Oryzias latipes: one gene and its partners. The protein of the gene in region 1 purifies or fractionates together with the protein of each later gene. This does not show direct contact. Links are inferred from orthologs where the notes say so. Each region holds a gene or a part of one and is shown in the gene's direction. Other genes may lie near its edges. The genes, in order: ssb, larp7 and ybx1.

Evidence for each region.
Region 2: the proteins of ssb (region 1) and larp7 purify together in Homo sapiens (affinity purification with mass spectrometry; 4 studies listed by BioGRID and IntAct, with this or other methods). This does not show direct contact. The link is inferred for Oryzias latipes from reciprocal best matches to the Homo sapiens genes SSB and LARP7.
Region 3: the proteins of ssb (region 1) and ybx1 purify together in Homo sapiens (affinity purification with mass spectrometry; 3 studies listed by BioGRID and IntAct, with this or other methods). This does not show direct contact. The link is inferred for Oryzias latipes from reciprocal best matches to the Homo sapiens genes SSB and YBX1.

The regions. Positions count from the first base shown.
Region 1 is NC_019879.2:21,745,445-21,749,200, forward strand, and holds the start of ssb (lupus La protein), read left to right. Parts: upstream 1-1,529; 5' UTR 1,530-1,650; intron 1,651-3,756. UniProt on the Homo sapiens protein: Binds to the 3' poly(U) terminus of nascent RNA polymerase III transcripts, protecting them from exonuclease digestion and facilitating their folding and maturation.
Region 2 is NC_019876.2:11,522,611-11,525,735, reverse strand, and holds the end of larp7 (la-related protein 7), read left to right. Parts: intron 1-86; coding exon 87-187; intron 188-316; coding exon 317-476; intron 477-558; coding exon 559-650; intron 651-2,131; coding exon 2,132-2,209; 3' UTR 2,210-2,471; downstream 2,472-3,125. Other genes in the region: uncharacterized protein LOC101168076, read right to left, coding at 2,943-3,125. UniProt on the Homo sapiens protein: RNA-binding protein that specifically binds distinct small nuclear RNA (snRNAs) and regulates their processing and function.
Region 3 is NC_019865.2:7,798,134-7,801,889, forward strand, and holds the start of ybx1 (nuclease-sensitive element-binding protein 1), read left to right. Parts: upstream 1-1,569; 5' UTR 1,570-1,705; coding exon 1,706-1,817; intron 1,818-3,359; coding exon 3,360-3,423; intron 3,424-3,649; coding exon 3,650-3,683; intron 3,684-3,756. UniProt on the Homo sapiens protein: DNA- and RNA-binding protein involved in various processes, such as translational repression, RNA stabilization, mRNA splicing, DNA repair and transcription regulation.

The DNA.
Region 1 (3,756 bases):
CAACGAACTACAAAGTAGCTTTTAGGATGACATTACAGCAGCACCTGTCGGGCATGTGCAGCATAACAAGACAAAGAGAAGCATGTAAAAAGTGTTTCTAACTGTGTTAAAATAAACATTCTAACAAATAAACAGTTGGACTCTTTTTTTCTGTTTGAAAACACGACAATCGTTGCTTTATATTTGTCCACCAGTCTGACGCAGGGCCACAATCACACATTAAGACTTTTTTGGGCAGTGGGAGGCAACCAGAGTCCACACAGAAAGGTCTCAATACATCCTCTTTAATGTACCCCACCCAGGACTCTGTGAGGTAATTGTTATAATATCATAGTGTATTACAGTGAATTTAACCCGTTTTTTCTCCCATTATTGTTATTAAATTAAAAGTGCAGTTCTTTGAGCTTAGTTGGTACTACAAATGTAAAGCAGGAGCAAAAAATGAAAACAATGTGCAAAAATTCTTGAAAGCCAAGATGAGTCAGTACACACAATACCTGGGTGTAGAAAATATTTTGAGAGGCTCAAGAGTACATTTAAAAATATGGTTTTTGTTTTTTTATTTTTGTAATTGTCACCGGATGGGGGCTCGAGAGCCGGTAGGACCCAGGCGCAGAGACGGGAGGCAAACGGGTTCAATGGCAAGGGGTTTAATTATAACAAACAAAAGGCGCTGCAGAGCAGGATGACAACAACAAAACAAAACTCACTGTGGCGTGGAACAAGAAACGAGGAACATGGCATGACAAGGACAACCAGGACAGGAATAACTAATGGACCAACACAGGAGGAAGGCAGAGACAAGACTTATATACAGACAGGGCAGACAAGACACAGGTGGACACGATCAGGGCTGAATGGGAACCAAAGGAAGTAAAACTCAAGAAACCAGACAAGACAGGAGACTTTCAAAATAAAACAGGAAACAGAAACAAGACAGAACAAGGACCAAAAACAAGACAACAAAATCAAATCATGACAGTAATGCTTAAAGTAACGTGTATTGATGGTTTCTTAATCTTTGTAAATAATGATACTAATGTTTACTCAAAAGCTGGGGGGCAAAGCTTTTTGCTGGGGGGGGGCAGCTTCCCCCTTTAGCTCCGCCCCTGCTGACTTGACTAAAAAAGCTAAGTTGACTTGAGTTTACTAAAATAACATTTTTTAATGAAAATCTTTTCACAGGGATGGATTTTTTGTTTCACTGAGGCAAATTATTAGTTTTTCAAACAGTAAAAAAATAAAATCAATTGGATTTTTCAAAATAGTCTACACATTTAAAGGAACATGCAAGAAAAAATCATCAGAAAATGGCACTGCGCTCAATGACACCATTTTCTGCACTTTTTCGTTTTTTAAATTTTTTTTCCATAAAAACTAATACATGGCCAGAATAACACCCTAAAAGAAATACTAAGTAATACTACCCATCGTGGTCCCTGAAGTCATAAAACGAGTTTTGTGTACTTCTGCCACCTGCTGTTTACGGCCTGAATTGGATGCACTATTGCTGAGTGAGCGAGGTCTGTCACGTTGGCTCTTTTTGACCCTCTGTGATTTCCGTAACACGCATTACTGCAACGTGCGAGCCCCGTAGTGAGGTCTTTAGGGTTAGAGTTGAAAACGCCGTGAGCAGAAACTATACACGTTGTAAGTATTGGTCATTATGACGGGGAAAATGTTTTAAGTATTGATTGTACATATTGAAAGGAAACGGGCTGTCTTTTTTATGGTAAAAGAAAAAAACATCCCATTCAGCATATTCGAGCGACATGCCGCGACCAATTGCGAAACCATGCTTCAATAACTAAACATATATGCACCGACATATTTTATCCATTGAAAATATAATATTTTCTCGACAGGCTCATGGTCACTTAGATGTAAAATTAGTGGTTTTCAGGGTCTTGAGGTGTGCGGGTTCTGTATTGACGTTAGTTAGCAATGGCAGCTAGCTAGCTCAGTCGAGTGTAATGAAAACAACATCAAATTCATTGCAAGTAGCATATATTATTATAGCAAGTTGTTGTTTGATGTTGGACTTTACGGTGTTTAACGTCCACGGAGTTTAGTTAAAGCCAAACTCTGTGTTATTTTGTTGCGGTGTATATAACTCGTTTGTTGAGCTTTGCAATGAAGTCGCACGAAAAAGGCATTACAATTTTTTTGGGCATTTATGCAGTAACAAAAACATAACCAGCTTTTTGGGCTCACAACTCAAAACCGTACACTACAAAATTGTTTCGTGAAAATGTAACACACATGTCTGACCTGCCAACTGCGCCCCACAGTGGTGAAAAACAAGCATTACACCACAGTTGGCAATGATCCACAAACCAGGTTTTTAACTGGACAAATACAGTGATCCCTTGCTATAACACGGTTTACTTTTCACGGTTTCGCTACTTCACGGATTTGCATCGTGCATTGTGTTCTGCATTCTGATTGGCTAAAAAGTCACTCAGCTTCTTCTCTACCTGTGCGTCAATAACGTTGCAGTTTAATATGTACACGTACGTAAAACAGCTTGCCAAATTTACATTATGTACGTGCAAATTCTCTTGATGTTGGCATGTCGGTGTATAAGGATGTTTTTGATGTTTTTGGGAAGAAGAAAAAAGAGCGACACCAACTATGATCACTATGTTCTTCTTCCCCCGAACAACACACCTGCAGCTGCACCGCGGGCTGCAAAAGAAGAAAACACTGCAGAGTAAAGTCAGGATGCAGCGGCTTAGTCTGGACTTAGAGCAGTTAAATACACCTATTTGTCCCACTGTACTTTTTTAAATCATTATTTTATAATGACAATTCTTCGGGTCGCGGTGGGCGGGGCTAATCTCCGCGATTTGAAGCCTTCTGTTCACATTGATGATTAAAATTATTATTTGACAGTACAGAACAGAAGTTATTTGTAGAAAAAAACGTTTCTAAGGTACTTTTATTGGTGAAACAAATGCTTGAGCCTGTAAAATGGTTTGTTCTGTCTTTTCAATGTATAATAGAGTATTTAAATGTATAATAATTGTTAAAAGATATAGAGGTTTCTACTTCACGGTTTTTGCCTATCACGGGTTCTTTCTGGAACGTAACCACCGCGAAAAACAAGGGTTTACTGTACATTCTTTTAGCAAGCTAAACTAAATGTATTTCTGTTGTGAAAGATAGTGGGTTTTCAAAATTCTCCTGAGTTTTTACTGAACAGTTGATGCACTTTCCACTGCAGCTTGCACTGAATGTCTGAAATAAACGAGCAAATAAGTTTTCTCTAGTACGCCAAGGAGAAAATAATGTCACCTTTCTCAGTTTTACCTGGTCCAACGTCACTATTTGGGTCAAAGCCTTGAATGAGATTTGATTAGGGAACACCACCAGGTCTGCTAAAGTTGACTATCAGCTCGCAACCCAGAAAACGTGTCATCATGGGTCAATTGTCATGTCATTTTTGCTCCACCACCATTTGGGGGGGGTTGCTGGAGCTTTTCCTCATCTTCTGCTAGTTTAGCTGTGCAGTAGATTGTTCAACGTGACCTTAAATTTTTATTTTTTATTTTTGTTTTTACAACTCATCATAGTTTGGAAATATCAATGCCTTTTTTTTCTAATTTCCCATTCAAAGCTCAGTTTTGTAAAGGGAATAATTAAGTATTCACATAACTTGCAATGAAAAGTAATTAAAGTGGAATTTTGATTATTAAAATTGGGAAATTTTAAATAAAAAACAAACAGAATGCAGACATTGATCCGTGGATGGGA
Region 2 (3,125 bases), on another chromosome or scaffold:
GCTCTGCAGAAACGATGTAAACTATGCTCATGTTCCTCGCAACTGATATACATAATGAAATGCAACATTATTTTGTTAACTTGCAGTTGAAAGCAAAAAAGAAAACAACCAGAGTCCTCAGTTTGTCAGTGGCGTCATCGTGAAGATCACAGACAGCAAACCTCTACCAGCAAGGAAGATCGTCAAGGTGCTGGATCCTTTCTGGCTTCTCTTTTTATGATTTGAAGCTGCAGTTTGTCATAGAAAATGCAGGATTTCTTGTCCGTGGGAGCAATGTTGTGGTTCAGGTTGTATAAGGTGTCACTGCTGTGTGCAGGAGATCCTGTGTGAAGTGTCTCAAGTGGCTTACGTCGACATCCTGGATGGAGATTCAGAGGGTTATGTGCGCTTTTTGACACCAGAGGGCGCCAAAGGTGTCTGCCAGGCCAAAGCACAGCTGCAGAAGGAGCACAGCTGGAAGGTTGAGATTCTAACAGGTGTGACATGGTTCCTCCAGTCCGTGTTTGAACGTCATCTTTTCCCATTGAGCTCAGGTTTGCTCTCTGACTTTTCCTAAAGGAGACCAAGAGCAGCGGTATTGGCATAAGATCCTCGTGGACCGCCAGGTGAAGCTGAATCGCCCCCGAGAAAAAAAGAGAGGCAAAGAGAAGGTGAAGTTCAGTCGCACGTCCTTGTGGTGCATCTCGGTTCTCAAACTAACACTTGCCAGTTGTCAATTGAAGTATTTGTTTCCTGTTTGGTAAGTAACAGTCAAAGGGCTGCTCGCCAGACAAAAAAAAAATACAAACTCTAACTTTGATTATTTCCGTTTTGTTTATTTTCTGATACTAAAGGAAGTTTTATTTTGGAAAACTACCAGATTCTGTTCACCACATCCGTCTGTCTTGACGCGTCACGTGACTTTAAGCAGCTGCTCGTTCGCTAAGTTAGTAGTTCAACACTTAAAAGCTAACAAAAACCAAACAATTCAACGTATTTGGAAAGTTTCTTTGGGGAGAAGAGTCAGTGAAGAAACTAAAGAAGAGTCTTTGGCTGCAAAGAAAATAAAGCTGCTATTTACAGACAGAACTAGAAGTTTTCCTCCAAATACGGATTTATTGAGACAATTGTTTTCACGTACCAGAAGCTGCTCGCTTTGCCTAATCAGGAATCAGGAAATCTTTATTGTCATTTTATCACATGATAAAACGAAATTAGGCTCTCTGGTCCCGGGCCAGCCGTTTACATTCAGACATAAATAAATAATATAATATCAATGTGATATCAATATGTTACGGTGTGGTTCCTGGTGAGTATTGCACAAAAAGTATGTTTCAATATGCAGCGACTGACACATATGCAGGTAATGAAGATGTAGACACGGTGGATTCATGTTTATTATCATGTTTATAAAATACCACTTTATAGACAGTTGTGTCATTATTTTTGCTTTCTTTATCCATCATTAAACGTTGAAGCTGAAGTTAGCATCCAGTTGTTGGCATCCACGTTGACGTTAAAGGGAAAATCTTCATCACAAAGTTTAAGTTTAACCAGCTGAAAACATTTTACGGAGAATGAAGATTCAATTCAGTTACTGATTAGTGGAAACTTATAAAAAGGAGATTTAGGAATTTTCCTACAGCAAGGCTGAATTATGCAGACATCTGTTAAGAAACTTGATCAAAGAAAATGTTCCTAAAAAAACACAATGAATCAGAATTTATGAAAAAACAAAATATGATCAATCTTTTTGTCCTGAAAGATGATCTGATACTGGCTTTAGTTCTCAGTGTTATAATGGTGTTCAATAAATTAACAATAAAAAATGCTTGTTTTAATTGCATTATTTACAAAACTGAAACAACTTCTACAAAACAACTTTGTTTCATTGAATTTTGGTTTTCTGTGAAAAAAATCTACCAATGTTACTAAAGTTCTTGTTATCTTTTGTTTTAATTATGTAGTGAAAACACCAGAGGGTTTTCTGGGTAAAAAAGTGTCATCATTTGCTTTAGATTTCCACATTGGTCGATCAAAAACGAAATTTCTGCCACTGGCTGGATCATTAAAGCAGACATGATTATTGAACAGAAACTCTTTTGCAGAAGCTTTTAAGGAACTCATCCAATCTTGTCTCATCTCCCCTCAGCTCATATCTAAAGCTGAAAAAATCATCATGGCAAGAGCCAAGGAGGCGAACAAGCACATCCGCTTTGAGGAGGACTGAGCTGCACACGTTCAACTGATGTTTCCTGTCTTGAAGGAGGACTTGAATGGTTTTAAGTAGTTTCTGTCCTTTTGGGGTTTTTTTTTGTTGTTTTTTTGGCACTAGAGTTCCAAAAATGCCACGTACTGCTGATAAAGACAGAGCTTTCTTTACCAGGTTCTTGTGTGTTTAAAGCAATCCTGTATAGATACTACATAAATGAACTCCAAATGAAAATCTTATTGTTTTTTTACTAATAAAGAAAACAGAAATTTCACGATCACAATGTTTGTTTTAAATTCAGACACTCCTGTGCTTGTTAAAGACTCACTTCCATTAATTTTTGATCCATTTTCAGAGCCTTCCCAGTGGTCTTTTCACTATGATCTGCTGTTTTTAGCCGAAATCAAAAGCCTGTTGTCTGGTGGGACATAGTTTCTGCAGAGCGGCAGTAGTTACCTCAGAGTTGTGGGCGGGACTGGTGGTTCAGAGCAACCCGACCCATAGCTGAGAGTCAATAGGGAGTCATCCTCACTAATACACTCTCTAATCTGCATTTTTTCCGTCTGGTCCTGATTCACAGCGGTTTGAATACAGACATACTCAGACTTTTCTAAATACATGTCTTCCATCGTCAAAAGGAACATGTTAAAAACATAATTATCATCGGAGTGGCTCTTTAAGATGGCTGTTTCATCAACATAGACGCTTACACATATCATGTCGGTTTGTTTTAATCTTTTAAGAAGACTTGTTAGTCTTGATGGAGGCTGATGAAGTAATTCAAGACAGAGTCCTGAGGAGGCTGGTTGTTGCAGCTTTGGTTTGGTTTGGAGACGTCCTCGTTTGTCTGGATAGCAGATTCCCAGCCGTCCTTTTGCGGTGGCTGGATCGCCATCGTGCCTCTCTCTCTGGGCTTCACAGACAGCCCGGTCCA
Region 3 (3,756 bases), on another chromosome or scaffold:
ATTAAGAGGTTGGATTGGGGGGTTCAGCAATCAATGGTGGCCGTGTGTGCAGCTCATTGCTCCCCCAGGTGATGGGTCACATGCAGTGAAGCAGTACAATACCAGGTTATAACAACTAAAAAAATATGTGAAAGGAATACACACCCTACATACAAAACGTCCGATCTGAAAAAAATCTCTTTTTTTCAAGAAACACGGAGATTGTTTCAAATATTCCAGTCAGTGCTGGAATATTTTCTATATTTCTATTTAATATTTCTCAAAAAAGGGCAGGATTGTCTTGAAAGTTCACTTTAAATATGGAGTTATTCTTGTTCTCACCATTTAAGGCAGGCATGTCCAAAGTCTGGCCGGTCCAAGGTGGGTTCAGAAACCTGTCAAAGGTTTCTTTCTAGATCTCTACAAAGTCTGGCCAAATGCAGCCCTCCTGAAAGCCTCTTCTAGCCTGCTGGTACCTTTTATAAAAATAAATGTGCTCCCAGGAAACTGTGTATGATTTCTTGATTATGATTGCCTACTTTATAAACCATTTTAAACCTATGGCAACACTATGATGTGACCCTTTTGCAATACCTTTTAGCTCATTTCTAAAATGTCGACTGTAAATTTAACAAATGTTGACAATTGGGGGTCGCTGCTTTCAGGACAAGTAGAAATTTGTGTATTTTTTTCAGTAAGATACTAAACATGCAAGAGGCTGGATGTTTTCAAGAAATTCAATATCAAGAGGGACTACAAGACAAGACATCCCAACTATGCCAAGCTAACTAGGAAAGAATGGTGCATGGTTTTCACATGTGAAATTCACTGTCATTTTGTTAAAGATTTATTAAGCTCTTCTTTTGTTCTATGTGTAGAAAATACAATTAATATGCAATAAGCATTTCCCTTAAACAGTTCATGTGCATTTAATGTTATAAGGGTTCAAAGAATGCAGGTTGAATGGTTGGTCCTCACAAATGTTCACCTCACAAAATCTAATTCTCTTTGCAAAAAGTCAAATCTAAAAATTTGCAGATTGGATCTTTTGTATTTTGGTTATCAAGTTTGGTTTTTGATGTTTAATCATCACTATTTACAGGTAACAACCATTCATTTTAAAAGTAAAAATAAAAAAGCAATATTGTGGATGTTTTTTTAAATTTACAATATATTCTGATTCTTTTGTGGGAGTCAAACTTTTTGAAATTTTACATAAATTGTTAGCCTCCAGCAATATTTAAAAGTAGGCTAATATTTCCTAATAATGCCATAAAAATGTTGTTTAACTACGGTTTTAAAAGGGGTTTACGTGGATCAACACTAGCTTTATGCGTCTTTTTTTTTAGTTTTATGCATCTGACACATGATTACAATGGGGCGGTGAAAACTGACAGGTACGGTACCTTTAACCAACCGTTCGTGAAAACGCGTCGCTTCAACTAGACTGACAGTAGTCTAGCCAATCAGAGGACGCCTTTTTTCTGTGACGCATTCAGTCAATAATTCCAGCCAGTGAAAAGCTCGAATGGGCGGGGCCACAACCAAGAACATTCCCCAACACAACTACTGATTCTGCCCAGTTCGATCGGCAACGGGAGCGGAAAGAGGAAAGCTGAGAGCCCGAAGGCAGTAGCCCCCACCACCGCCGGCCCACGTTACCATCTAGCACCGGGAAAAATAGCAGAGAGCCGCCGCCGGCAGAAGCCATTACCAACCAGTAACTATGAGCAGCGAGGCCGAGACACAACAACAACCACCGCAGCCTGCTGCCGATGATGCGGAAAGCCCATCCAGCCCGGCAGCTGCAGCTTCCGCGGGGGATAAGAAGGTCATCGGTAAGACTGCCGACTCCACTTAGCTAACTAGATGCTAAACGTGGTTTATGTTGCTGTAAACGAGACAGAAACAGCCGTTGAATTATGTTAATGTAAAATGACCGTTACGATCAACTTTATTAAGTAGTTGGACGTTAAACCGTACGTCGAATTGTGATACCAACTGTCAATATAATTATACATTTTAAAAACTGTCAGTTGGGAACGGTTATTCATTAATAGCGTATCATTCTCATTAACTATGAGATGTCACAAGTTTAGGAAAAATCCACATCTTAGAAATGTAGTAAATAACCACTTAATCCATGATTTTCTGTCTTGGTGGGAAAACATTTGCGAAAAAGAGACGCATGCATCCAAACGGCCGTCACATGGATGATCGTAGGAGTAATTTATGTCAGATCCAGCATGTTTACTACCAGACGTTGCAGACCTTTATCTCTCACCGTTAACCGCCAAAAGTACGAACAAAACCCGAAAAAATGACGAATAAATGTTTTAAACTTGGAAATACCCTGCGTTAGTTCACACTAACAAGTTCACCGGCAACTGACGCTAGCTGCTTACTATCCCTTTGTTCGCACAAGTGTCGAATCCCTGTATTCTCTGTCAAAGCTTAAAGGTGGTTGTTTTCAAGTTTATTTTGTAACTATTAGATATATTCAATAATAAACGCTTTGGGATTTGTATTCAAACCGTCCTAAGCTTTAACTCGATTTTTTTTTTACATTTTCGGTGAGGCCTAATTATTTCACGATAGCTTTCCAGTTGCTAACGATGCTAATGTTAGCCTAGCCAGCTAGCTGGCTGGCTATTTACATGGCTGAAAAGGCCACCCAAAATGTCCGCCGTTACACGATCCGTTTATACGTTACAGTTCTATTCTAGCTCGGTTTAGGTACTAAAAGCGCTTGCTTAAGTAGTTTCGAAGTAACATCTGTAAGATGTTGATGGGTTTATTACGTTGGTTTCCGCTTTTTGGCTATACTCCAACCACATGGTTGTAACTCTTAGCTACACGGCTAAGCTAAGAAGCCAACTCGGCTTGTTTTTCGGTCTGTCCGTGTGCGACCCTACCACGTGTGAACGCTCACGTCGTGAACTGGGCGTCTTAAAATGGGGCAGTAGGTCTTTAATGTCCGAGTTCTCTAAATGCAGTTGCTAAACGCGAGGTTACTTGTTTTGAAGTTTGACGTGTCGTAAGCTCTGTTCCCCGTGTTATCCGCATTCCTTCCACACATTTGCAGTCAATGTAATTGGACTGTTTTCTACCATGGCCGGAGCTTCACACCGGGAGCAGCTGGCGCCAGGCTCTCCTAAGCATCAGCATCTATAATAAGCACGACAGTTGGAAGTTATTTTTAACGTCCACACTATGGCTAGTTTTTTCCTGCACATATCTTATTATGTGCGATGCTTTGACTGTTCCCAATCTATTATCATATTTTCAAAATTTCATTACTGCTATTCTAAAATTACCTTTGCAGCTTAGAGAAGTAATATTGACACTTGATAACTGAGTTGCTCTGTTTTTCATTGCAGCAACAAAAGTCTTGGGTACAGTCAAGTGGTTCAACGTCAGGAATGGATATGGTTTCATCAATAGGTAAATGACCACCTCCAGCGTTCCCAATCCTATTATGATTATTGCTTTGCTAACGTGGCTGACCTGATTATTTTTTCTAGTGGTCTGCATGCACACTGTAACCTGCAAGACTTCATTAATCCTTGCACTTGTTGGCTTAGTTGCAATCTGTCTTCAGAGGTGTGTTGTCTTAGTAAGTCATGTGTGGTATAACTGAATCTTTTTATTTTTTTCTCTTTTTGTTCAGGAATGACACAAAAGAGGATGTTTTTGTACACCAGGTGACCTATTATTTTCCAAACCTTTTGGAAACTTAAAACATTTTTTTTTTATTTCGACTAATTCACTTTTCAA